4 linked regions of the Caenorhabditis elegans genome follow. The protein of the gene in region 4 interacts with the protein of the main gene of each other region in a biochemical or structural test. Each region holds a gene or a part of one and is shown on either strand. Other genes may lie near its edges. The genes, in order: skn-1, atf-2, rnt-1 and pmk-1.

Region 1 (5,432 bases), 2.5 Mb from region 4:
GAGACGACTGGATCAGAACAAAAAAAGCTAGAGAGCAAACAAGAAAAGTTGGTCAAATAAACGAGAAAAGGTTTTTTTTTGAAAAATCAATAGAAGTGCTAACGGGTTACTGTAGATATACGGGTTTTTAAGGAACTTGCAGAATTGAGTCGAGAAATCTACAAAAAAACTATTGAAATTGGGAGAAAAGCGAGAATTGCGTGAAAACTAAAACAAAAGTCAGTTTCGAGTGATTGAAATGCGACAAAAAATCATGAAAAAGCGAGAAAGCTTATACGAGTGAGTGAGAATATAATTCTAGATAAGGGCAACTAAAACATTTGCCGAAAATTCGAGTTCAAACTTGCTATCAGTGAGAGTTGAGAGTGCTTGGGTCAGGTGCCTGATTGAACTGGAATTGAAAGAAAAACATACATTCAAAGGCGCCTGACAATCAACAATTCAAAAAAGAACTCCGATTTCTGGGCGGTCCAAAACCGCAAAAAAAATAAAAGACAATTGATTCCAAAAACAGTAAACACAAGAAGTTAGTTGTCGTGTTGAGGTTACCAAGTGAAAAATGGCGTCAAAAAACAGAAAGAAAGGCGATTTCCAGAGACAACGAAAGAAAACCATCGAAACAGTGCACTCGGTGTCCTTATTTCTCTAAGTTCTCTACGATTTGTGCTAACTTGCCGCCATGGAAATGATGACAAATACGAGAGAGCGCGCCGATAGAGTAGATCACAAGACGAGGAGAGATGGCTGAAACTGTAGACACGCAGGGTGTACGAGAGAATGCTGGAAAGCGCATGTCCAATGGGAAGACGCAGAGGTAAAAAAATTTTGTGACCGCCGTGTCTATTTGCCTGAACACAGATAGACACAGACTTGTGGAGATCGAAAATCGCAACTTTTTGATCCGAAATCTTGGTGCGCGGTAAATTAACGTGCGCAGAAAATTGACCAATTAAATGAAAAACTAGAAGAGAAGGCTGCTGTGGGGGCCGTAACGAAGTCAACGAAAGCTGATAAGACCAGCATTGTCGCTCGCCGCTTGCACCAAAGACGACGACTACAAAACGACTACACAACGGCAGGTGAATGTTGTAGCGAGAGGGCGAGTGCGACCGAATTGTTGCAGGCAGGTAGTAGACGGTGGGAGGTGAAAAACCGAAGATCTGGAGAATGTGTGTGTGGATGTTGATGCAATTTTTCATAGCACGTTGCCCTTAAATTCTGATGAATCCACACAGAAGTAGTACAGAGCAGGACTGTGCGGAAAAATATTTCGGCAAACGTACAAAAATGAATATAAAAATGTAGGAAAATGCTCGCTCAATCTGAAAATGATATGTATTTTTGTTGGAAAAGTTTGAAAAAGACTTTCAATTGTGCCGTCTTTTAAAAAGTTTTCAAAAAAAATTTTTTTTTCAAACCGAACGAGCATTTTCCTACATTTTAACATTAATTTTTGATTCAAAAAGTTGATATATTTTTCGAAAAAAGTTACAAGTCTAGTACAGAATACTTTGAAAAACGATTGAAACTGAAACTCACGAAACCGAGAGAACAGTTTAAAACAATTATTCAATAAACTTAATGCTTGGTGGTACTGCTGAGAATAAAAAATTTGTTTTGATTTAATTTCTTCTCAACGCCTAATTTCAAAATGCGTGCTGGTTTTCACGTTTCCAAAAATCCAAGTTTTTTTTTGGAAAGGAACCAAAAATTCAAAAATAAAGCATATCAGTTTGAAGTTTGTGCCAAGACTGATAAGAAATATATGAGAGATGCAAAAGATATCACTTGACGAGAAAAAGAAAAGATTTTCGATATTCTAAAAAAGAGAGGTTTGGGTGCACACGGAAATCGGATACATCTACAATTGAGCTACAACTGAATTATTCAAACCACCTGCGTCAGACATGCATGGGAAAATTGAATTATCCACACACCTTCTTCCCTGTTGATATGTGATCAGAATTCTTCGAAATCTTGGCTAAAAATAATTATGATACTAAACCTGCTACAAACCACGTGTTTTTATTTTTATTATTACTACAACAAAAATAAAAACAAGCGCATAATAGTCTGATATTTGGTTGAAAATCTCAATTAATCAGAACATATCCTGTTTATTTCAGGATATTATGATCAAAAATCGCGAAATTTAGAATATAGTAGTTCCGTCGGAACTCAAAGAACTCAATCTTTCTGTTTGAGTGTACTGTGAGTTTGACATCATATTTGGCTGTTTATGAATTCTCGTAGAACGTGATGTTCAGAATTATATTTCTTGACCTCAACCGTGAAAACGAATAGGTTCAGCATGTCAAATACATTGCAATTCAATTAGAATATAGTAGAAGAAAGCTTCTACTCATATTCTGTCAATAAATAATCATACTTTCAATTTTTACAAATCGAAAGCTGTGATCCGAATTTCAACTTATACCAATTCCTTGATCCATTGCGTGCAAAAACCCAACTAACCATGTCAACCGCACCCATTCACAATCAGACCACAGATATGATTCAAGTCATTTTTTCGGTTTTAAACGTCTCATTTCCAGATGATATCATCTTGCACCGAGAGCGTCAATTTAATCAAACGGTTTGATCAAACATTGTACGTGGTGGTGGAAAACCGTTGTTGATAGTCGCTGTCGGCGTAGCAGAAAAAGTTCGAAAAATCAAGAGCCTCGTGGGGTGTCTATCAGGATGGTAATGCTGCTATCAAGCTGGCATATAGGCAATCGGGGGTTTGCGATTTTGGAGCGACTCCGGCAAGATGTTTGTATAATATACATATATGGAGGACAATGTACAGACAGTAATATTTTAGGCTAAGTTTAAGATTGAAGAGATTGGAAAATATCTGAAAATCTGATGATCTGGCGGAAGAAGGATTTCGGAAGGGAACGGTCTTCTTAGCGGCTCTGAAATACAAAGATCACGCTTTCCATTGTTTTCTTGAATTTTTGAAATTCTACTTTTCAGAGGACTTCGACTTCGTCCTCTGGCATTTACGAACATAGTCGTTCCGGCATCATTATTGCAACAGAGAGAGAGAGAGAGAGACAGAATGAGCCGTGAATAGTTTCAGACAACGAGGCAACTGTGACATTCTACATGAGATAGTTGGGATTAACACGTAACAATGCGGGAGACCTAGATAACGAGAGTGATGTGACTGAAGTGATAAGAGGAGAAGGTGGTCTGATATGGAGTTTGGGAAGGAAAAGCTGTTCAAAGTAAATATGTTACGCGGTCTTTGAGAAATGATCTATAACCGGGTGTAAATAAGAAAAAATGTTTGAATTTGAACTTGAAAAATCATATTTTTGAAAACTCGACTCTCAATTGTGGTGTATTTTCCCTATTTTAGTCTACTCGAATTAATAGAAACTTCCAAGAATAATATATAGGTAGATGATGAAAAAGCTTAAAAAAGCTAAAAATAGGCTCCACTCAGATCTTGGTTATTCTTTTAGTTTTTTTTCTTGTTTCTGAAGAAATTAAGTAATCCGTGAAGAGAAAAGCCATGTTTAAGGTTAAAGCTGGAATTTTGAGCCAAAAATCTTGGGAAAAAATCTACAAATCTTAGTTAAAGTTGGATTTAGAACATGAAGAAAACAAAAATTGTAAATGCAAGTAATATTGAATCAGAATTGCAAGAGTTGACTGGAAAAGTGATACGAAAAGTCATGCTCTCCCGTGAAATGATGATATTCTTCAGGTCTTTTTACTTGATAAAACCAACAAAAAAAAAACTAACCGACACTCCATAAATTGACGTCGTCTCTTCTTCGTCGTCGGCTACCGAAGAGAAGCACTGTCTTCGTCTTCGTTTATCGTCTCGTCTCGTCGCCGACGTACTTCGCTGACGGCGTGATGAACCGCCCATCGACTGACTGGATTATGATAGATCCTGTGAGAATGAGTGGAACACTTCTCTCAACAATATTCGGACACGGACTCGCGGCTGAGTGACCAGAGTCCGATCGACGGAGGAGAAACGCGTGAACGACGACACGAGGCCTTCTCTGCAATATTTTGAGTTACAACAATTTTTTTTCTAGAATTCAGAAAACGGGAATTTTCGGAATTACAAGAACTATTCTAGAAAAAACTAGAAACTTCGTTTTTGGGGAATTGTATTGTCTACAAAAACCTACAGTATTTTTTTTCAAATTTAATTAAAGGAGGAATATAGTTTGTGGGAGGTTTTCGCTTAAAAAAAACTAAATCTGGCACAAAAGTGCCGAATTTCATAGTGATATTTATTTAAATAATTTCAAAAACGTTTATGACTGGAAAAATCGAAAAAACATTCAAATTTTCCACACATTTTGGTCGAAAATAAAAAAAAAACGGTGTTTTAGCTTTAAAAAAATCCAGAATTTAGCAAAATTTGGACCTTATTTTTCGATATTTTCAGTTATACATTTTTCGAAAATTTTGAGGCAATATTAGTAAAATCAGATTAAAATAAGTTTAGTGGTAGGAACTTGATTTCACAGTTTCAGAAAATTTTAATAATCATTAAACCAAGTAAAGCAACAAGAAAGAGAAAATAAATTAGGAAAAATTCAAATTTTAGATAACAGAATTGGTTTCAAAACCAATCAACAAAAAATAACAAAATTTCCTCCACAAGACTGCAATAAAAATCTTTACTTTTAATATATTTACATATGGTACAAGTTTGGGGAAAAGGCAGAATTCCAGCAGAAAATTTGAAAAAAAAAACTAGAAATCACAATGAAAATTGAATATTTTTTAAAGAAGCGTCCCTGAGAAATTGAAAAAAAAATTTCTAGCGTTGAAAATGTTATTCTACATTTGATCCCGTGAAATCACTAAATAGGCGATCTGAGAGCATCGCATTGAGCACACGCAGCTTTGAGATCTGTGAGCATTAGAGCCATTGCACGAGTCCATCGAACATCTGTGTTGAGTGTCATAACTGCATTGTATTTGACACCATTGTCAACCAGTGAATCAGCATGAATTTGATATGGTGGTTTGAAATTTTTGTTTCGATCCTGAAAAATGTATAAAAATTAGGGTGTTTCTGAAACCAAAAAATTATAAAATCGATCTTTATACCGGAAAATGAATATTGTAAATCCATTCTTAACGAGATGTGAAATTTTACAGTTTTGCTCCAAAAATACTTTAAAAAACCCGATTTACTCAAACTCATAAGGGATCGTGCGCCTTTAAGGCCTACGGTATTTCCCAACTCCTCAAGTGTTCACCCAATTATTTAAATAAAATTTATTAAAAAACATGTAAAAACACGCCAAATTTCGTAGAAACGGGCGGAAAACTAGGAAAAATCACTCTTTTTCACTAGTTTCTTTCAGATTTGGGTTGGTTTTATACCTTTTTAACGTAAATCGGTTGAAAAATGGGAGTTGGGAACTACAGTAGGCCTTAAAGGT
Region 2 (4,855 bases), on a different chromosome or scaffold from region 4:
TAACTCATTTTATTTGATTAAAGTTGTTGATTCAATAATTTTGAAACAGTTTTCATTAATTCACTTTTCAAAGTGGGCAGACTCAAAGAATACCTCTTTTTCATGTGAAAAGCTAAAACTTCACTTGTTCCAATTTAAAAGTTCTAAGAAAATAACAGTTCTTCTTGACAATCCTAGATTCAAGTAAAGATACCTTTATCTAAAATTGAATTTCAATTTTCTCTCCTCTTTTTCCAATTTCATTCACTTTCCTTCCCATAGCCTGCATACTTTCACCGACTCGTTCCCGAACGATATGATCGTGCTAGCCACTCTCTCTTTCTCGTATCGAACTGCGATCTTTCAGTTCCCAACAAGAATACCATCATTTCAACACCTCACTTTCGCAATCAACTACCAAAAGTGCACTCTCACTCTGTTACTCTACCTAACCGTATTATCCGCTCTCCATGTAAAACTACTGAAGTAGACACAGCAAGGGACAGGCACACACTCACTGGTCATCAAAATCATCAAATGATGCAGTGAATTTGGCTGTTCTGGTTTGCAGACAAAAAAGTTTTGGAAGCGGTGCGGGAGGATAGTGGACACTGTTTGTGATTCACTTCTCGTCATTCTCCGAGCCTTACAAACAAACAAAAATAGCTCTCTCTTTTCGCTGACGATTGTCCCCCAACACGGGCGGCGGTTATTTTGGCTCTCGCCACTCTTTTTCAAGGTGCACAATCAAAAACAAACAAGTCCAGCCCGATTTCGCGAATTTGTTCATCTAGTTCAACGCATTTTTTTCATTTTGAATACATTTGCTTGTATCGTTTCCGAGTTTCTTGAACAATTACTTTCAGAATTGAGTATCATTTTTTGTGTTCAGCAGTGAAAAATAACCAAAATTTCTCTATCAGGCTTGCACTCACATTGGTCATATTTTACAGTCCTGACCTAGAGTGCGTTTATGAATTTTTCAAGACTTTTGTTTATCTAAACCTACCAATTTTTTCTTCGTTATCTTTTTCAACTTTATCTTTTAGCCGTATCTCATTATTCACTTTCCACCCAGTAGCTTCATCCTCTTGTCTTCCAATTCTCCGCAAAGTTCACCTACCCTTTTGTACTAGTGACCTGATGCGACGAATTCAACCATTGACCTCCTCCTCCTTCTCACACTTAGACACACATACATCCGTAACCCGAAGCAGCGAAAGTTAAGCATGAAAGCGAAAGGAAAGTGAAAACAATTAGGAAAAGTCGGCATCATCATGGATCGGAGGAGGCGACGCGTTGAAGTCGTTGCGAACGATGAAAAATGATTAGGAGACGGGTCGAAGAAAAAGAGAAGGGACTGCAATGAAGAGAGAAGGGGGCGAAAGTCGGAGGGGATATCCTGTTCTTCGACTGGTTTATTGTAGAGACTGAGAGTGAGAGGATCTACCAAGCATTGTCCGAAACATTGACCATGGCTAACTGGTTTGCAAGGCGCAAATAGGTCAACTGAGGAGAGGCACAACACCGCTTAATTGTTGCTAACTGCACTCTACACCTACCATATGAACACACCTGTACCAGATATACTTTGTTTTCTCACCTTTTTTTAAGTTAGTGATTTTCTGGTTGTCTAGATACTCAGGGATTAGCATTGCGTAAGATCATCTTCACTGAAACCAAAAACTGAATAATTTTTGTATACACATTGGTCAATTAAAATGGCTTACAATTAATTAATAATATCTGGAAACAGTGAACACATTGAACTTCTGATTGTGCTGAATCTCCAAAGATCGTGTCAATTTCAACTCAAAAAGACGTATTTGTCCTTACATCAAATAGGTTGACAGCTTCTTTTAACTCTACTAACTTTCCATTTCAATACACCATGTGTACTAACATTTTGAAGTCAAAATATAAATGTTGTGTCTTAATTCATTTTGAAAGATTTTGGTATTCATATTTCTTTCACCGATGTTCTTTTCTTTCAAATTTCGTACTTCTATATTCTTGATTTTCTTCTTTTGTTTGACTTTTAATCATCTTATTTTTATTTTTCAGATGGACGTCGACTCGGCATCATTGTCACCGTCCTCCAGACTTTCGGTGGTTTGTTCGGCATCCGCCGAGTTCTCATCGAGCTCGTCGGATTCGTCGAACTTTTCAGAAGGATCTCCCCCGGAATCTAGAAGGTTTGAATTTTTAACAGTTTGATGAAACTTTTGAAAGTTTAAATACTTTTCGACATTGATAACTATTTTTCCAGAAATTCCGTAAACGAAAGTGTAATAAAAGATGAACATTACTGGGAAAGGCGACGGAGAAATAACGATGCATCAAGAAGAAGTCGAGAAAAGCGAAGGCAAAACGATCTAGCAATGGAAGAAAAAATAATGTTACTTTCCGCCGAAAACGAACGGTTAAAATCTCAGTTAGGAACGACACCAATTCCACAACCATCAGTAACAGAGCCTCCAACATCTCTGATTATTCCCCAAGTTGCAAAGAATCTTTTCCCAGCGGGTCCAATAGCATCTTTGCAAGCGAGTTCAATGCTTACTGTTCCATTGCTCCAGGCAGCTTCGCATATTCCATCAATGTTGCAGCTTTGTCAACTACAGCCAACAACTATTCAGTCACCGGTAAGTTATTTTATTGAACTTGGAAATATCGAAATTGTGATGATTTAAATAAAATAAATTAACTCGTGGAAAAATATTTACTATTACAAAAACGTCTGAACCGCATATAAAGTTCCATTGTCATTTTTTGGCAACACAACTCAGATTGTCAACAATTTAATGAATACATTGACAGCTGAATGCGTGACCTAGAAAGACAGATGTCCCATAACGTTTTTCCATGTTTGTAGGTCTATGCGAGCACTCAACAACCTGCATCAACGTCAGCATCATCTTTATTCTCTTCATCGTCTTCATCTGCATTTCATCCTTTTCGACCATCAGAAAGTGCTCAGCAGAGTTTTCCATCGAGTAGCGTAATTGTGAAAATTGAACGAAGAAGTCCAGATTCATCAACTGACGTGAATATGCCTCAACCTCAGTTACAGCCTGGATCTAGCGTTATTCAACAAAGTAAGTCGTTGTTTTTGAAAGTAAAGAGCATATTTTCATTTCACTAGTATTAATTGAAACTATAATCTAAAATTTATTTCAGTCGGTCAGCCTGCTCCATCAGGTACGCCTCAACCAGTAATCCAAGCTGTTCAACAAGGACCATCCCTGCTATCTGCTCTTCTTTCACAGCGAAGACCTTCTCCTACAGTACCACAAAGCCGAACGGAACATATTTCGGGGCTAAATTCCCCTCCAAGACATACTGGAAACAAATCAGACTGTGAAAGTGTATCGTCTTCAGCATCTTTCTCTCCATCGCATTCTTCGGAAGATCACTCAAATTATTCGAACAAATCGGTAAGTTTTTTTAAAGGAATTGAAAGAAGACATTTTTAAATACATGTCAAATATTTCAAAAAAAAACTTTCAGCCCCAATATGTGGACAGACGTCGAAGGAACAATGAAGCCGCAAAAAGATGTAGAGCAAATAGACGAGCAGTATTCGAATACAGGTCACGACGAGTTCAGGTAAGTTGAAACTAATTTTAATAGAAAACATAAAATTTTAAAACTTAGATATAAATTTATTGAATCAATTATTACTTAACATTTTCAGCTCTTGGAAGGTGAAAATGAAGATCTTCGTACCCAAATCGAAACGCTAAAAGCAGAAATAGCCCACTTCAAATCAGTTTTGGCTCAAAGAGCATCAGTTGTTACTGCCCTTCACCCTTGATCCCATTCCATTTTCTTATTTTTGACTAATACGGATAGAAAGCCAATTTTCTTCGTCTTCTCGCTAGATGCCCCCCAATCAAAGTCTTTCGCTCTCAAAAAACCCTTCCTCTCTTTCTGCAATACTTCCAATCATTCATGTGCAATACTTTTTAACTTTAAATGTTTCATTAATTGTTTCTAATAAAACCAATGTGTTATTATTTTTGATTTGCTTCCTGTACAAAAAAAGGTGAAACAACAAAAAAAAGTAAAGTCTGCAAACGATTTTTAAAATCCACCCGTCGCTTGCCAGAAAACGGAAACTTTTCAGAATGATATAACTGAATCAGAAAATTGTTTTATTAATGTTTCATATATACAAATTATTATGAGAAAGTGAATTTAAAGTTGAGCATTGATAATTATTTGATTACTTTTCCATTAAACAGAACTTGTTTGCCCTTTTCGTTGATACTCCATGTAAATGTCATGTATACTTCTGAAAGGACATGAAATATAAAATATTTCCTAATTTTATGCAAATCTTGACCCACTTTTCCGTTTCGATGACGGCAACAGACGGTGGCGGAATGTCATAAATTGGCGCCTTTTTTGAATTACGATAAAAATAGAAGGCATTCAGGCCTAGATCCAGAAGTCCAAATACTAGAACCAAAAAGCAAAATACTGAAGCAACTTGGAATGTTCCAGTGGAAACTGATTGATAACATCCGTATTGAGTTATTGCTCGGGAGTCACAACCATCATTGGCAATTAAAAACAGAATTGCAGAGACGAGAATGGAAAGAGCAAAAACAAAAGTGAATAGACATCTCTGGAATTTTTTGACAGTACAAATCTACGCGTTATCAACATTAAAAATAAAACGAATTAAGAAGTTTGGGTTTTTTTTCAAACTTAAAATCTTTTAAAAATTACCTTAACTATGGTTGTAGTTTCAACATCCCATATAAATAATATAGACACCGCTGAAGCTGAAAACAGTAGTGCAATGATTACGAATAGCTGAAACAAAACATTAAGTTCTGACCTTGAAGATTATTATAGCTTACCAGTC
Region 3 (7,694 bases), on a different chromosome or scaffold from region 4:
TTACATTTTCTCAAATTTCAGGTGTGTCCGACGGTTCTCCATTGCCAGCATACTACAACTCGGCTGCATTCCTAACTCCACCACCAACATACTACGGTTCTCCAAACCACCCGACATCTAGCAACATTTCGCAACCTCAGCAACCATACTATGGCGCTAACCTTTATTATGGCTTTATTCCCCCTCAGCAACATCCTTCTGCAATGATGCGCTCTCCCAATTACGGCCAGTAAGCGCTTGCCTGTTTCCATCAAAAATTGCCATGTTCTCATTACTATTCGAATATTTTATATAAGTTCCGTCGCTCGTAGTTCTGTAGAAATAATCAACGTAGTTTATGTTTGCTGAAAACTATGAATGAGAAAACTCCCTGTGAATCATATTGCATCTGTAACATCTTTTTTTGTTTTCCCCTGTAGCGTTTAGTTTGGGCCTTCTTAATTGTTTGTTTTTTTAATCAATTTTGTTATTTTGTTGTGTTTCTAATCATCCATCTCCCAACTCTTATCCGAATCTGATGCCATTTTTCCTTGTCATTCGCAATCAATTCGTATGCCATTTTCTTGGTCCCATCTGTAGATTTAAACTCTCCGCATTGCGTTTTACCTCCCTCTCGTTTAATGTATACAAGAAGAATCGAAGGTAACGTTTTATCTTTTTTATCACTTATAAAATTATTCATCTTAAGTACTCTTTCACATCCTCCCCAATTGCATATTTTCTCGCAGATTGCGCATTAATTTTTTTTTCGAATAAAATTTTTTCGATAGTACGACTTGTTGTCTAGTTGAATTCAAACCTGAAACTTTATTAGATATGATGATAATCTATTCCGATTTAGATCAAAACTTGTATTATTATACAAAAAAGGTTGAAAACCGTTAAATGAACCCGTTGAACGTGTTTTAAAACGAGAATATTGAGAAAAGTGACTGAAGAGGTAGGAAACAATTGAGATTTGGAAATTGAGAGAAATTTGGTGTGTTGTGGTAAAATAATGAATATTTTTAAGATTAAAAAGGCCTCCAAATAGTCGGAGAAGAACTATTCGATGAAGTTATTGATACATTTCTTCGTCTTTTTGATTCTACAGATTCCGGAGTTTCTTGAATTAAATTAATTGAAGTTTCTGATGATTTTGTGATTGAACGAGGAGAAGATGGTCGTTTTAACTTCCGATCATCAGAAGTTGGAGTTATAAAAATTGATGGAGATGATAGGCATGTAGACGTATTAAGGGATACTGCAATTAATAAATTATATATATATATTTATTTCCGAAAAAATAATCTAACCATTTTCCTGTTCAACTTTTTGTTTAATCGGAGTTTTCATCGATTCGCTGTGAATTTTCCAAAGTGCAGCTGAGATAGAAGGATGTGGTCCTGGAGAGATAAGCGGAAAAAATGATGGGCTGAAAAATATAAAAATTATTTTATGAATAATGTGAAATTCGAAAAACTTACGGGAAAGTTTGAGTCATTGGTAAAGGAAACCATGGTGGTGGAATCATTGTCATTGGCATCTGAAAATTAAATTTTTAAAAATTGTTTGCAATTTTTTCATGAATGTTCTTCTACAGTTTTTTGCAGAATTTTTCAAATTAAAAACATTTCAAAAATGAATGAATTTTTTATATTGGGGACGCAGAAAAATGTGAATTTTGAAATTGGGGGTGTGAGCGCGCTCCAACGCCAAAAGTCTCCGCCCCCAAACGCTGGGTCTCGTTAGGTATTATCGGATGAATTTTATATCGAAACTGATGCCATAAAATTCATAATCAAATAAAAACCCTTATTCACTTTTCTGTACTTTTCAAAACATTATTTCACAGTAAAAATCATTAGAGTCAATTGAGAGTAGAAACAATTTAATTCTCGAAATCAGGTGAAATCAGCAAAAGTTATTGAAAACGTTTGAATTTCTGATATTCCCGCCAATACCTAACGAGACCCAACATGAGGGGGCGGAGCGTTTTCATTTGCCTCGATTTCAGAAAAAGGAGACTACTGTACTTCTTAAAGTCACATCCTTTTTTTCTCAGGCTTTATTCAACAAATTCTGGTAATTTCGAGACCCTATACTTAAGTAATTAATACAAAATTTTGTTTGTACAAAAATCAAAAAATCGTACCGGTGGTCCAGGCGTTCGGATAATATCATTTGGGAATATTGTCTGCTGTTCTGCCTGCCGTTTCAAAGATCCTTGTGGTTTTGGTATTCTCGCATCCCTTGGTCCATCAACCGTAACCTATAATTAAATTAATAAGTTTTATCGTATTAAACTGACATCATTTCTTCCCATTCCAACATATTTGGCTTCCTTTTTTAAAAAATAAATTTGAATAAATAAACCAAAACTCAATGCAACATAAGAAGTTGCAATTGATAAGAATATTTACCGATTACTAGGCTTTCTGAAAACTAGTTTTTATTTGTAAAGAGGTGTACCAGGTGACGCATCGTGGTTAATAATCAGATAAGAGAGTACGGTAGTTGATGTGCGGTAAATCTATACATTGTTTTAGAAAACTTAAAGATGGAGTAGTTAAAGAGGGAATTTTGTATAAATTTGTACTCATAAAATAACTGATATCATAAAAACGCTTAAAATTTTTTTTGATTTCCTAACATTTTTGGGAGATTCTGAGCAATTTCTCATGTTTGCCCCAACAAAAAATTTAAAAGAATAAAGCTTTTTTTGGTCGACTTCCAAAATTTTGAGTGGCAATTACAGGGTCTCGACACGACGGAAATGTTTTAAAATGTTAGCTATAGAATGGAATACGCTCATTAAAAAGTATGTAGTTCTCACGTCACAACTTTTTTCGATTTTTCGTTGTTTTTTGTAAAATCAGATGCTCGAAGAGAAATAAGAATTAGAGTGGATGTAAAACTACAGTACCCTTGAGAGGTGCATGCTCCTTTTTATTCCAAAAAAATCAGTCGTTTCGAGACCCTTAATTTGTATTATTCATTTGCGAGTTGTAGCAGCCAAAAAATCTATTTTGCCTCAAAAATAGCACAACTTCGGTTCTGGGTAGGGAAATATTTGGTAATTTTTGAATCATAAGTTATCCAATTAATTCAAAAAAAGATTGATACTTACTCAATGTAATTATCAATTACCTATAGGCGCATTTAAAATCTACATGATATCATATAAATACATTCCCTTCTCCTTAGAATTCCACAAAACTTCCCACAATCCATTCGGATAAACTCACCTTGATCACATTTTTGACGGTGGCCACCATCATCGGCGCCGAATGTATAACGATTGTCAAATGGAATTTTCGGCCTGCAAAAGACACAAAAAACGATTGGAAAATGTGCAGTTTTATTATGAGCCGACGATGTTCTTCTCCATTCCGCCGCCGCCGCCACCTCACAAAAAGTATCCCATTAAATGCGGGCATTTGTCGCGCATTTTTATGTTACACTGATGTTCCGGATAATATAATGGCTCCGGTCAGACTACTCAGGTGGAATCATCAGTTTATTGGAAAATTTTATTATTTTAATGTGGAACACGGCCGTTAATGTATGCGCTTTTAAAATGAGAAAATGTTTAGACAGAAGTGGAAAAAATGATAAGAAAACACAAATCAATAGATTTATAAGAGGTTAAATTAATTTTTTGGTTTTTTGATACAACTAAAAGTTACATGCACCATACGTTATTATAATAAACCGTGCATTTCCATGCACTTCCCAGAGCTCAACTTTGGAATTTTACATATCGGTTATTTTATATTTATTGATAAATTTAGGAAAAATGAAGTTCAAAGCCCATAACGTTGTAATTGATAGATTGATAGAAACTAATAGGTAGAATATGAAATGTATTTATCAGGGAATTAAATTATTTAATTTACTATTAGTAATTTTAGGAAGTTTCATTTTTTTTTGTCTCCCAAGTGTCATACTTTTTCTACCCGCATTCTTACCTCTCACCACTTTTCTCTACTTACCTACCAATTGCAGTTACATATACAGTACTTCTTTGTCAGTTGACTACTTTGTACTAATACCCACAAATATGTGGTCATTACCCCTTTTTTCTACCCGCGCCAACCGGTTATTTGGCTACAGTACTCACCTCTGCCGGACCGCCCGACAAACCGCAAATCGTTAAATTTTGCCACTTGTCGATGCACTTTTGCTTTCTCATTTCGAACTTCTTCGCATGGTTTTTCGTCATTTCCAGCCCAAATTGATACTGAAAATATTATTTGAGCAGTGAAGAAATTGCTTTTTTTATTTATTTTGAAATATAAATTTCAACATAAAGCAATGCAAATATAAGGTTTGTTTTATCATTTTCAGAAATGCTCAATCACATGATTTCAACAATAATTCAAGAGAAGGCAAAATTCCAAAAAAATCATTCCAAACTTATTTCAAATCGTAGAGAGTTTTGAAAAAAGTAAAAATATAAATACGAAAGTGAATCAAAAGAAAAATCAATAATTTACCTTCTGTATTATCTGGAACAGGCGTTAGTAATACAACATAAAATGGTTCTTGAAATGATTTATTTGATCTCCAATGCTTCGGAAGAGCTGTGTATAAAATGTTTGGAGATGATGATTTCTGAAAATTTATTGTTTTGTAAAAATATCTCACAATTCTTTTACACTCTTGTTCGTCATTATATAAAATGTAATATTTTTCGATTGATAATTACAAAGTCAATTTCAATGAAACCTCTAAAACTCAACAAAATCATCGAAATGCTTGTGGTTTGAGCTGAATACTTTTATGATAAGAGAATGAAGATTACTGTATTCATTTGATTACTCAATTTCCAACCGATGCAAAATCAATATACTCTATGTCTTGCAAAAAAAAGTTCAAAAACAAAATGTAAAAATGTTGCTATAAGTTGTAGTTTGGTGTAGTGTAATTTTTATTTTTCATTTCATACCGTCTCGTAAATCTTTAAGATGATTTGATAAAATCTGCTCATAATTGACTATGGAAAATCAATACCCTAGAGTCATGAACTACCGTATACTCTCAAGAAAAGGAAGAGTTTTGAAATTTTTAAAAAAGTACATTTAAATTTGTAAAACTTTGCCGGGAAAATTAACTCAACTTTTTCTAATGTTATGAACGAAAATTAAAAAAAAACTGTAGAAATTCCGTTCACAGACTAGATAAATTGTAAGTTCTTTTACGTTCGGATTTTTGGAAATTTTAGGAACAATTGTTAAAAGTCACTGTAACAAAACCAAAATTTCCCAATTTCGAATCGAAATGCTCAATTCAAAATTATTGTGATATACAGGTACAATTTTAAAGTTAAAGTGACTAGATTATGATTTTAGGAAAAATTGAAAAAATCCAGGTTTATCAATATTTCAGGTTTTAAAAAACGATTTTTCTTCCGAAAACCGAATAAATGACTTAAGAAAGTTTAAAAATTGAAAACCTAAGACTTCGAAGTTTTTTTATAAAGAATCACAGGTGTTCAAGTGCCATACATACCTCTAATGTTTTAGCAGGTGCAGGTTGTTGCTCTATAAAATTCCGAACGTGATGGAAGACGTTGGTCATTTCTGTTAGTTTCCCAGAATACTTCCAGCACTGAAAATGAACATATTTAATTGAGTAGTGATAGAAGGTATTTGAAAATTCAAGAACAATGAAACTATTGCTTGCAATCATAATGACAAAAAAAAATTAGAGATCTGAAAGCTTCATGTACATTTTTTATGGGGGTTTCAAGGCGGAGTAGGGAAATTATTTAAAATTACTACTAGTGCTTTTTGTGACCAAATATCATAGTGCATTTTATTATTTTCAGACAAACAGTGACAAATGCTCATTATAATAATTTTGGAAGTCAACCAAAAAATGTTCTACGAGTTTTATTTTTTATAGGAATGCAATAATACTGAATTCCTCGAAAGGTCCAAATGTTTCGAGGTATTTTTCCAAAACTGTCAGAAGACTGAAAAAAAAACTGACAAATCTGAAACGTTTTAGTGTGTCTTATTTGGATACTCAGATTAAAAAAAAAACATTTCGAGTATACATATATGTTTTTTGACAAAATTTCCACTGATCCTTCTCCGCCTTAAAATTATATTTTGATCCATAAAATTCAAAGAAAAACATTTTTTTCGTCGAATAAATTTTAACATAACATTTAGTAAACAAATAAATAAAAACAAGATTGCCAGAAACGAGCCAATGATGTCTTTTGGCCGTGCAACCGCAAAAACTAGATAAATAGACGATTGTGCTCCGTTTTCAACTGATAAAGCGGAAGTGTGGTTTGGAAAGAAACGAAGTTTCAAAATGGGTGTTTATATGTTCAAAGAAGACACACCTATGAAATTGGTTAAAGAATTTGAAAATTACTAAAACGGAACGAAACGAGGGGAAAAAGATTGTTGAATTCCAGAGAAAAAAGGAAGTTATTTTATTTGCTTACACATTCTTTAAACTACCAACTTCTCAAAAATTGATAACTCTATTCAAATAAAGTTTATGAATGACTTCAAATAAGAAAATGAAGAAAATTATATATTCAACAATTTTCCAAGTAGACAAACATTTACTTATGAATCTAAAAAAGTTTAATAACCTACAAGGAAGTTGTGATAGAGTTGGAATATATTTGCATCTTATTTAATTCTTTACAATTTCAATTTTTGTTTCTTTTCAAAAGTTGCTGGATTTTGCCTTTCCTTTTCTAAATATTTTAAAATTTGTGGTAATTTAACAATTTGGCAGTTACCAAATTAGAAAATATTTTGAAATCGGAATTTCCGGAAATTACCAAACAAAACATGCCCAGGAGACAACTTAATTGTAAGAACGTACAATATTTTTTCACTAGGTAATCAAATAATTTCTCCAAAATCGTCCACCATTTCTCGTTATTTCAGATTCGAGTTTTCGCGATAAGAAACAATGAAATTACGGTATTTTTCTTATTGCTCTAACAGAAGTAATTTTGAGTAAGGGGATGGTACTAGAAATATTTTTTCTTATAAAACTTATAGGATGACTCTTTAAATATTTTATATGATAACTTTAAGAAAACTCATAGTTATTTGGATTTCCGGTTTCAAAGCTTCGTTCATAGCTGAAACTCATGTTTGACTTATTAACTGTGAGTTTGTTTTTCTGAACTAAATATTTACTTCAAACTTGTCACAAATTATTTGTTGAAAATCGAGTATTTCAGAAAATCAGAGGTAAATTTCAAAATGACATTGGGGGCGGGCGTATGTGGCTTGAAAGGTGTTGGCGGGCGGTAGATGGGGCGAAAAGATAAAGGACAGGTACTGAAAACGATGAATTGAAAGCGAAAAAAGAATGAAGAAAAGATGAGGTAGACTTTTGAGTAGGTGGGGGAATGAAAAGGACCGCAAAAAATGAAATGAGCGAAAGTGAAATGGAGAGCGGTGAAAGGGGTCAGGGAAACGGGATAACGGGGAGATTTTGGAAATATTGCGGTTTTTCGGAGATAGTATTAAAGAATTAAATAGCTAAGTACAGTGTAAATGAAAATAGCAGAACTGAGCTAAAATGGGAATGAATATTTAGAGCTGGAGTTGCCTAAAAACTTTCATCTTGGTACATTGGAGTTATTTTCACATTTACTTAATAAACATAGCAAATTATTCTTCAGTACCACAATTTTTTCAAAATAACAAAAACATAGACTCTAAAAA
Region 4 (5,535 bases):
CTATCTCATAAAATAGTGATCGATGAACACCTTGTCTCCTTTATAATGCCAAATACAACATTAGGCTAAACACAGGCTGTTTTCTATCCATTTTTTGACTTTTTTCTCTAAGTTTCCTCACATTCAATTCTACTACGGTTTTGTTTCATTTTTCATGATAAAAGTGGTATGCTGGCAGACTATTGTTTACATAGTACACACTTCTTTTTTTTTTCTTTTTTTGTTGAAAAAAAATCTTTTGAAAGCTTTTTAAACTTTTTTCAATCTGAAAATTAAAAAAAACATTGAATTTTGCGTTTTGTGGTAATATATTTAAAATATGAGCTTTTAAATTTATTTTCTGTTTCAGAGAATGGGAAAACTTCTTATAAGAACAGATTTTAACTTGTTGAACATTAAAATACTTTTTAATCTAAACAGTTTGATGTGAACAGTTGCAAATAACGCTTCAGTACATGAGTCACCAAAATTTCAATTCAACTATTATTCTGAAAAAATTAATGCATCCTTTTCAAAGAAGAAACACACGTTTTAGGCTGGTTAAATCTTACAACAGCTTTGTTTCAAATATTTCTTCCAAAAATTCTTTGATCTTTTTCTCCTAATACTCTTTTACATTCAAATATTTTCCTATTCTTGCAGTATATCCATTCGGCAGGGATTATCCATCGCGATTTAAAACCATCGAATATTGCTGTCAATGAGAGATGCGAAGTCAAGGTTTTTCTTAGTTTTTCTCAACTTTCTTTCCTAATTCTTTCATTTTTCAAGATTCTCGATTTTGGATTGGCTCGTGCTCAAGACGCCGAAATGACTGGATACGTGGCAACAAGATGGTACAGAGCTCCAGAGATTATGCTCAATTGGATGCATTATACACAGACTGGTGAGTAAATAAAAGAAATTGGTTTCTATGCACTTAAATAGTCACCTAAAATCTTTGAACTAAATTGTTAAATATCATATGATTTGAGGTTAACTTCTGACATTTTGAAAGCATGTTTCACCTGTTTCTTGTAGTTATGCTAAAACGTGTGAAAATATGAAGAATAAACTTTGACTTGATATTGGTATTTCTGGTTTCTGCAATTCTCTCTCTATTCCAACTTCCTATTTTTTCAAATAAACGAAAAACTTGATATATTTATCACATGAAACAAAAACATCATTTTTTTTTACTTCTAAAAATGTTACCAAAATATTGAATTTTTCAGTTGATGTTTGGTCAGTTGGATGTATTCTTGCGGAACTGGTATCCGGGAGACCATTGTTTCCAGGCGATGATCGTGAGTTTTATTCTATTCCTCTAATACTTTAAATATTTAAAATTTGCAGATATTGATCAGCTAACAAAGATAATGTCAGTTGTGGGTACCCCAAAAGAAGAATTCTGGTCCAAAATTCAATCAGAAGAAGCTCGAAATTATATTAAGTTAGTGTTGCAAATACTTCTGAAATTCAATTACTAGACTAGAACTGAAAAAAAAAATAAATCGTTTACGCAAAAATCTTTCAGAAATCGTTCTCCAATTATCCGTCAGGACTTCGTTACATTGTTTCCAATGGCTTCTCCATATGCTCTCGAACTTCTCGAAATGATGCTAATTTTGGATCCGGACAGAAGAATTTCTGTATCAAGTGCTCTTCGTCATGACTATCTTCGTGAATACTCTGTGCCAAATGATGAACCAGTTGCAATGGATACGGTAATAAATAGCATAGTACGAAATTTAAGTTCGCTTCTCTAAAAGTACTCCAATTTTCTTGTTAGGTCACAATTGATCCAGCTGAAGAACGAGCAACAACGTTATCCGACTGGCGAGAGTTAATTTGGAATGAGATTCGATTATTCCAAAACTCGGCACGAAGACTAAGTTTTGTAAGCTGTACGGATACGGAAGAAGAGCCAATGAAAATATGAAGTCAAATGTGTTCAAGTGCTAAAATATCTCAAAACTGTGGAATTTTCTTTTTTCTATATTGTATCTCCCTAAACTATTTATTTCACTAAAAATCAAATTTGTGTCCCTAATTCCTTGATCTCTAATTATCCAACAATCGATCTCAGATGTTCTTTTCCACAAAATCTCAATTTTTTCCTTTGAAACCATAGACTTGTGATTTACCTTAACTTTCTCGTTAATCCTATAAGTTGCCATGACCTCAGAGCCTCTTTTAATTTATTATTCATTTAGATTCATTTATCAAATTGAAGTGTATAAAGAATTAATGTAAATATTCAATTTTCTAAATACTCTTAAACATTTAATCGGTTCAAATTGCCGCTTAATTTTTATATTTACATTTATATTGGTTTTACGTACACAAAAAAATCATATTTTTTTCAAAATAATTACTTCAAATCTTACAAACATGATTCCAGGTAACGGAGCCAATGTTTCCACAGACAACAATGGATCATATACTTCATCCGACTCCACGAGAAGGATACTATGTCGTTGAGCTTAATCGAAGTGTCTGGGTTGTTCCAAATTATTATATTAACTTGACTCCAATTGGTACCGGAGCATATGGAACTGTTTGGTATGTCATTTCAACTGATTTTTACTTTATTTTTCGATTTTTAGTGCTGCTGAATGTACTCGCTCGGGGACTCGCGTCGCAATCAAAAAATTCAATCGTCCATTTCAATCAATAATTCATGCCCGTCGTACATATCGTGAACTCCGACTTCTTCGTTGTATGTGTCATGAAAATATAATTGATCTACTTGATGTCTTCACTCCAAATGAGAATGTAAATGATATCGAGGATGTGTATTTTGTATCAATGTTGATGGGAGCTGATCTATCAAATATTCTCAAAATTCAGCGACTCAACGATGACCACATTCAATTCTTAGTCTATCAAATTCTTCGTGGACTCAAATACATTCATTCTGCAGATATTATTCATCGAGATCTTAAACCATCAAATATTGCTGTTAATGAGGATTGTGAATTGAAAATTCTTGATTTTGGATTGGCACGTCAAACTGATTCTGAAATGACTGGATACGTGGCAACAAGATGGTACAGAGCTCCAGAGATTATGCTCAATTGGATGCATTACACGCAGACTGTTGATGTATGGTCAGTTGGGTGTATTCTTGCAGAACTTATCACTGGAAAAACATTGTTCCCTGGATCTGATCGTAAGACTTTTTTTCTACAATATTCCAAATATCTTCAATTTCCAAGCAAAAAACCAGAGTAAATATTTATGGTTGTTAACTTTATTGTACACTGGCGTTTCATAACATAGAAAAAAAATCATTTTGCTAAGTTATTCGTACCGTAGCAGGCGGAAAAAATTTATAATTAATTATTACCTCTTATTGCAAATTTTGGTAGTTTATCTCCAGTTGATTTGAGGATTTAGGCGCATTTGTAGTCGCGGTGTTAACTACCAAAATATGGACTAAGATAATTCAATAAAAACAAACAAAACAACAAAAAACAAAACACAAACGTTATTTTCTTTTGAAAATGTAGACTTTTCATTTAAAACTACTGTTTCAGACATCGATCAATTGACTCGTATCATGTCAGTAACTGGAACACCAGATGAAGAATTCCTTAAAAAGATCTCATCAGAAGAAGCTCGTAATTACATTCGAAATCTTCCAAAAATGACTCGCCGTGATTTCAAACGTCTGTTTGCTCAAGCAACTCCTCAAGCAATCGATCTCCTTGAAAAGATGCTTCACCTTGATCCAGATCGTCGTCCAACTGCAAAAGAAGCTATGGAGCATGAATATCTGGCTGCTTATCACGATGAAACTGATGAGCCAATTGCAGAAGAAATGGATTTGAATGATGATGTAAGGGCAGATACAATTGATGAATGGAAGAAAATTATTTGGGAAGAGATCAGTGATTTCCAGGTAATATATATTTACACTTGTTTTTGAACCAACTAATTATGCATAAAATCAAACGAAGGACACCCCCAGTGGGTTCATTTTGTGATCAAAATTCATTTCCGACTGTCAAAAACGTATCAATTTAAGCGGTTATTATTTAATTCGAATACTTTTGAAATTCTATAAATAACCTATACTACTCTAACGTTGAGTTACACCTAACCCAAACCTTTACACTTTGTTATGAAATTGATATGAATGATAAGGATGATTCAGTGCGGGGGGTTAAGTAGAAACGAGACATGAGTCATATTCAATTTCTTGGAAGCCAAATTATCAATGAAAAAAAAGTTGACTCAGGAAACTCAGAAAAAACGGAAATTATTCACTGAAATAATGAGATCATTTTCAGAAAAACGTGGCATTTGCTGACGAAGAGGAAGATGAGGAGAAAATGGAATCGTAGCATTGCTTTCTTTTTTGTATATCAGTTTTTCAATTTAATTCTTCAAATTTTTCAAAAAAAAAAAAGCCAACTGAGACATCTTACAATCCCAAGGCAGTTTCTTGCTCTGAAAAGGTTAATCTCACTTTCACAATGTGCTATCCCCCCACAAAAATAAAATCTTCCAAAACAAAACAAGGTAGCTCTAACTGATTCGCTTATAATTTTATTCTGTTTTCAAATTTGTTTTAAAAAACCAATTAGTATTTTTGTTTCAATTAAAATTTCTTAAATCAAATTCTCCAGATGTTTTGATCTATTAGGTGCTCGTTTCACCCCGCCCCTTGTTTTTTATGAAGCCTGTATAAGTGACCTTGGAAATACACAACCATCAAGCTTTTTAACTTTCATTATGGATTTCGAGAAATTTCAAAATCTTGATAGTTGAGTTTTTAAATTTCTAAAGTCATATTTTCCCCCTTTTCATTGCACTCTATGTTTATTTCGTTTTGTTCTCCAATGAACTTGATAAAATCATAAAAATTATCTTTTAATCTTTATTTTTAAGAATTTCTTTGTCAGTATCATATTATTACAAGTGCCACTTTAAGTGTTGAAAGTCAGTTGATACTGCCAAAATATACTGTATCCAACAAATAGTGTAACAAAATAGAATACCTTAGTTAAATGAATTCGCTCATCAAGCTAAACTTCTCGCTATCCGAGAAGATCAAAGCGAAAAACTGAGGTTCTCTTCAAAAAGTGTTTTATAGGATATAGCATTATTGCTTTTTTGGGTCCTTTGATATTTTAAAGAAACCTACACACGTTCACGAGTTTTTTGACAGAAAGTTACAGTTCTAAAAAGAAAGCAGTAGATAACACGCACGATGGAATAATTTTGCGGTGATTTCTTAGAACAAACGATGAGTAGATCAGTGAGCTGAATAATTTTCATTTGTAAAAAGGTTTTCACATTTTGCACTGGCTTTTCTTATAAAAATCATACTTAATTGGGCAAAACATTCTACATTCTTTCCATTTTTATTTTTGTTTCGTCTTAACATTCACATACAGATAAAACAGTAAGAATAATAAAAGTGACATAATAATGTGACATAATAATGTTGAAATATTATTTATATGTTATTTATGCCTATTCTCGATCAGCTTAACTGATTTGATCATTAATGAATCACGAGATGTCGGTGCTCAATTGAAATGA

The links.
Region 1: of the proteins of pmk-1 (region 4) and skn-1, one has a biochemical effect on the other in vitro, tested with the Caenorhabditis elegans proteins (one study listed by BioGRID).
Region 2: of the proteins of pmk-1 (region 4) and atf-2, one has a biochemical effect on the other in vitro, tested with the Caenorhabditis elegans proteins (one study listed by BioGRID).
Region 3: of the proteins of pmk-1 (region 4) and rnt-1, one has a biochemical effect on the other in vitro, tested with the Caenorhabditis elegans proteins (one study listed by BioGRID).

The regions. Positions count from the first base shown.
Region 1 is NC_003282.8:5,656,496-5,661,927, forward strand, and holds the start of skn-1 (Protein skinhead-1), read right to left. Parts: upstream 3,890-5,432; coding exon 3,761-3,889; intron 1,071-3,760; exon of another isoform or gene 921-1,070; intron 876-920; exon of another isoform or gene 823-875; intron 1-822. Other genes in the region: bec-1 (Beclin homolog), read right to left, coding at 4,845-5,030. UniProt on the Caenorhabditis elegans protein: Transcription factor. Required to specify the fate of ventral blastomeres in the early embryo, and postembryonically for the development of the intestine. Directly regulates expression of zygotically expressed med-1 and med-2 to direct mesendoderm development.
Region 2 is NC_003280.10:8,749,943-8,754,797, forward strand, and holds atf-2 (Transcription factor atf-2), read left to right. Parts: upstream 1-2,043; coding exon 2,044-2,174; intron 2,175-2,248; coding exon 2,249-2,624; intron 2,625-2,854; coding exon 2,855-3,077; intron 3,078-3,159; coding exon 3,160-3,416; intron 3,417-3,489; coding exon 3,490-3,588; intron 3,589-3,676; coding exon 3,677-3,796; 3' UTR 3,797-3,991; downstream 3,992-4,855. Other genes in the region: K08F8.7 (MARVEL domain-containing protein), read right to left, coding at 4,219-4,276, 4,332-4,612, 4,717-4,803, 4,851-4,855. UniProt on the Caenorhabditis elegans protein: Acts as a transcription factor that recognizes and binds to the sequence 5'-[GA]TTA[CT]GTAA[CT]-3', a sequence present in many promoters.
Region 3 is NC_003279.8:5,781,709-5,789,402, reverse strand, and holds rnt-1 (Runt-related transcription factor rnt-1), read right to left. Parts: upstream 5,593-7,694; 5' UTR 5,563-5,592; coding exon 5,494-5,562; intron 4,762-5,493; exon of another isoform or gene 4,741-4,761; intron 4,597-4,740; coding exon 4,479-4,596; intron 4,223-4,478; coding exon 4,103-4,222; intron 3,302-4,102; coding exon 3,228-3,301; intron 2,252-3,227; coding exon 2,135-2,251; intron 1,526-2,134; coding exon 1,467-1,525; intron 1,415-1,466; coding exon 1,296-1,414; intron 1,244-1,295; coding exon 1,014-1,243; 3' UTR 793-1,013; downstream 1-792. Other genes in the region: cpb-3 (Cytoplasmic polyadenylation element-binding protein 3), read left to right, coding at 22-233. UniProt on the Caenorhabditis elegans protein: Transcription factor. Binds to regulatory DNA sequences in order to modulate transcription; negatively autoregulates its own expression, perhaps dependent upon CBF beta homolog bro-1.
Region 4 is NC_003282.8:8,146,411-8,151,945, forward strand, and holds pmk-1 (Mitogen-activated protein kinase pmk-1), read left to right. Parts: upstream 1-2,383; 5' UTR 2,384-2,395; coding exon 2,396-2,544; intron 2,545-2,588; coding exon 2,589-3,154; intron 3,155-3,521; coding exon 3,522-3,886; intron 3,887-4,277; coding exon 4,278-4,331; 3' UTR 4,332-4,856; downstream 4,857-5,535. Other genes in the region: Mitogen-activated protein kinase pmk-2, read left to right, coding at 643-720, 772-886, 1,215-1,286, 1,336-1,432, 1,517-1,721, 1,772-1,921. UniProt on the Caenorhabditis elegans protein: Serine/threonine kinase which responds to activation by environmental stress and pro-inflammatory cytokines by phosphorylating downstream targets. As part of a MAP kinase signaling pathway, plays a role in modulation of lifespan and immunity.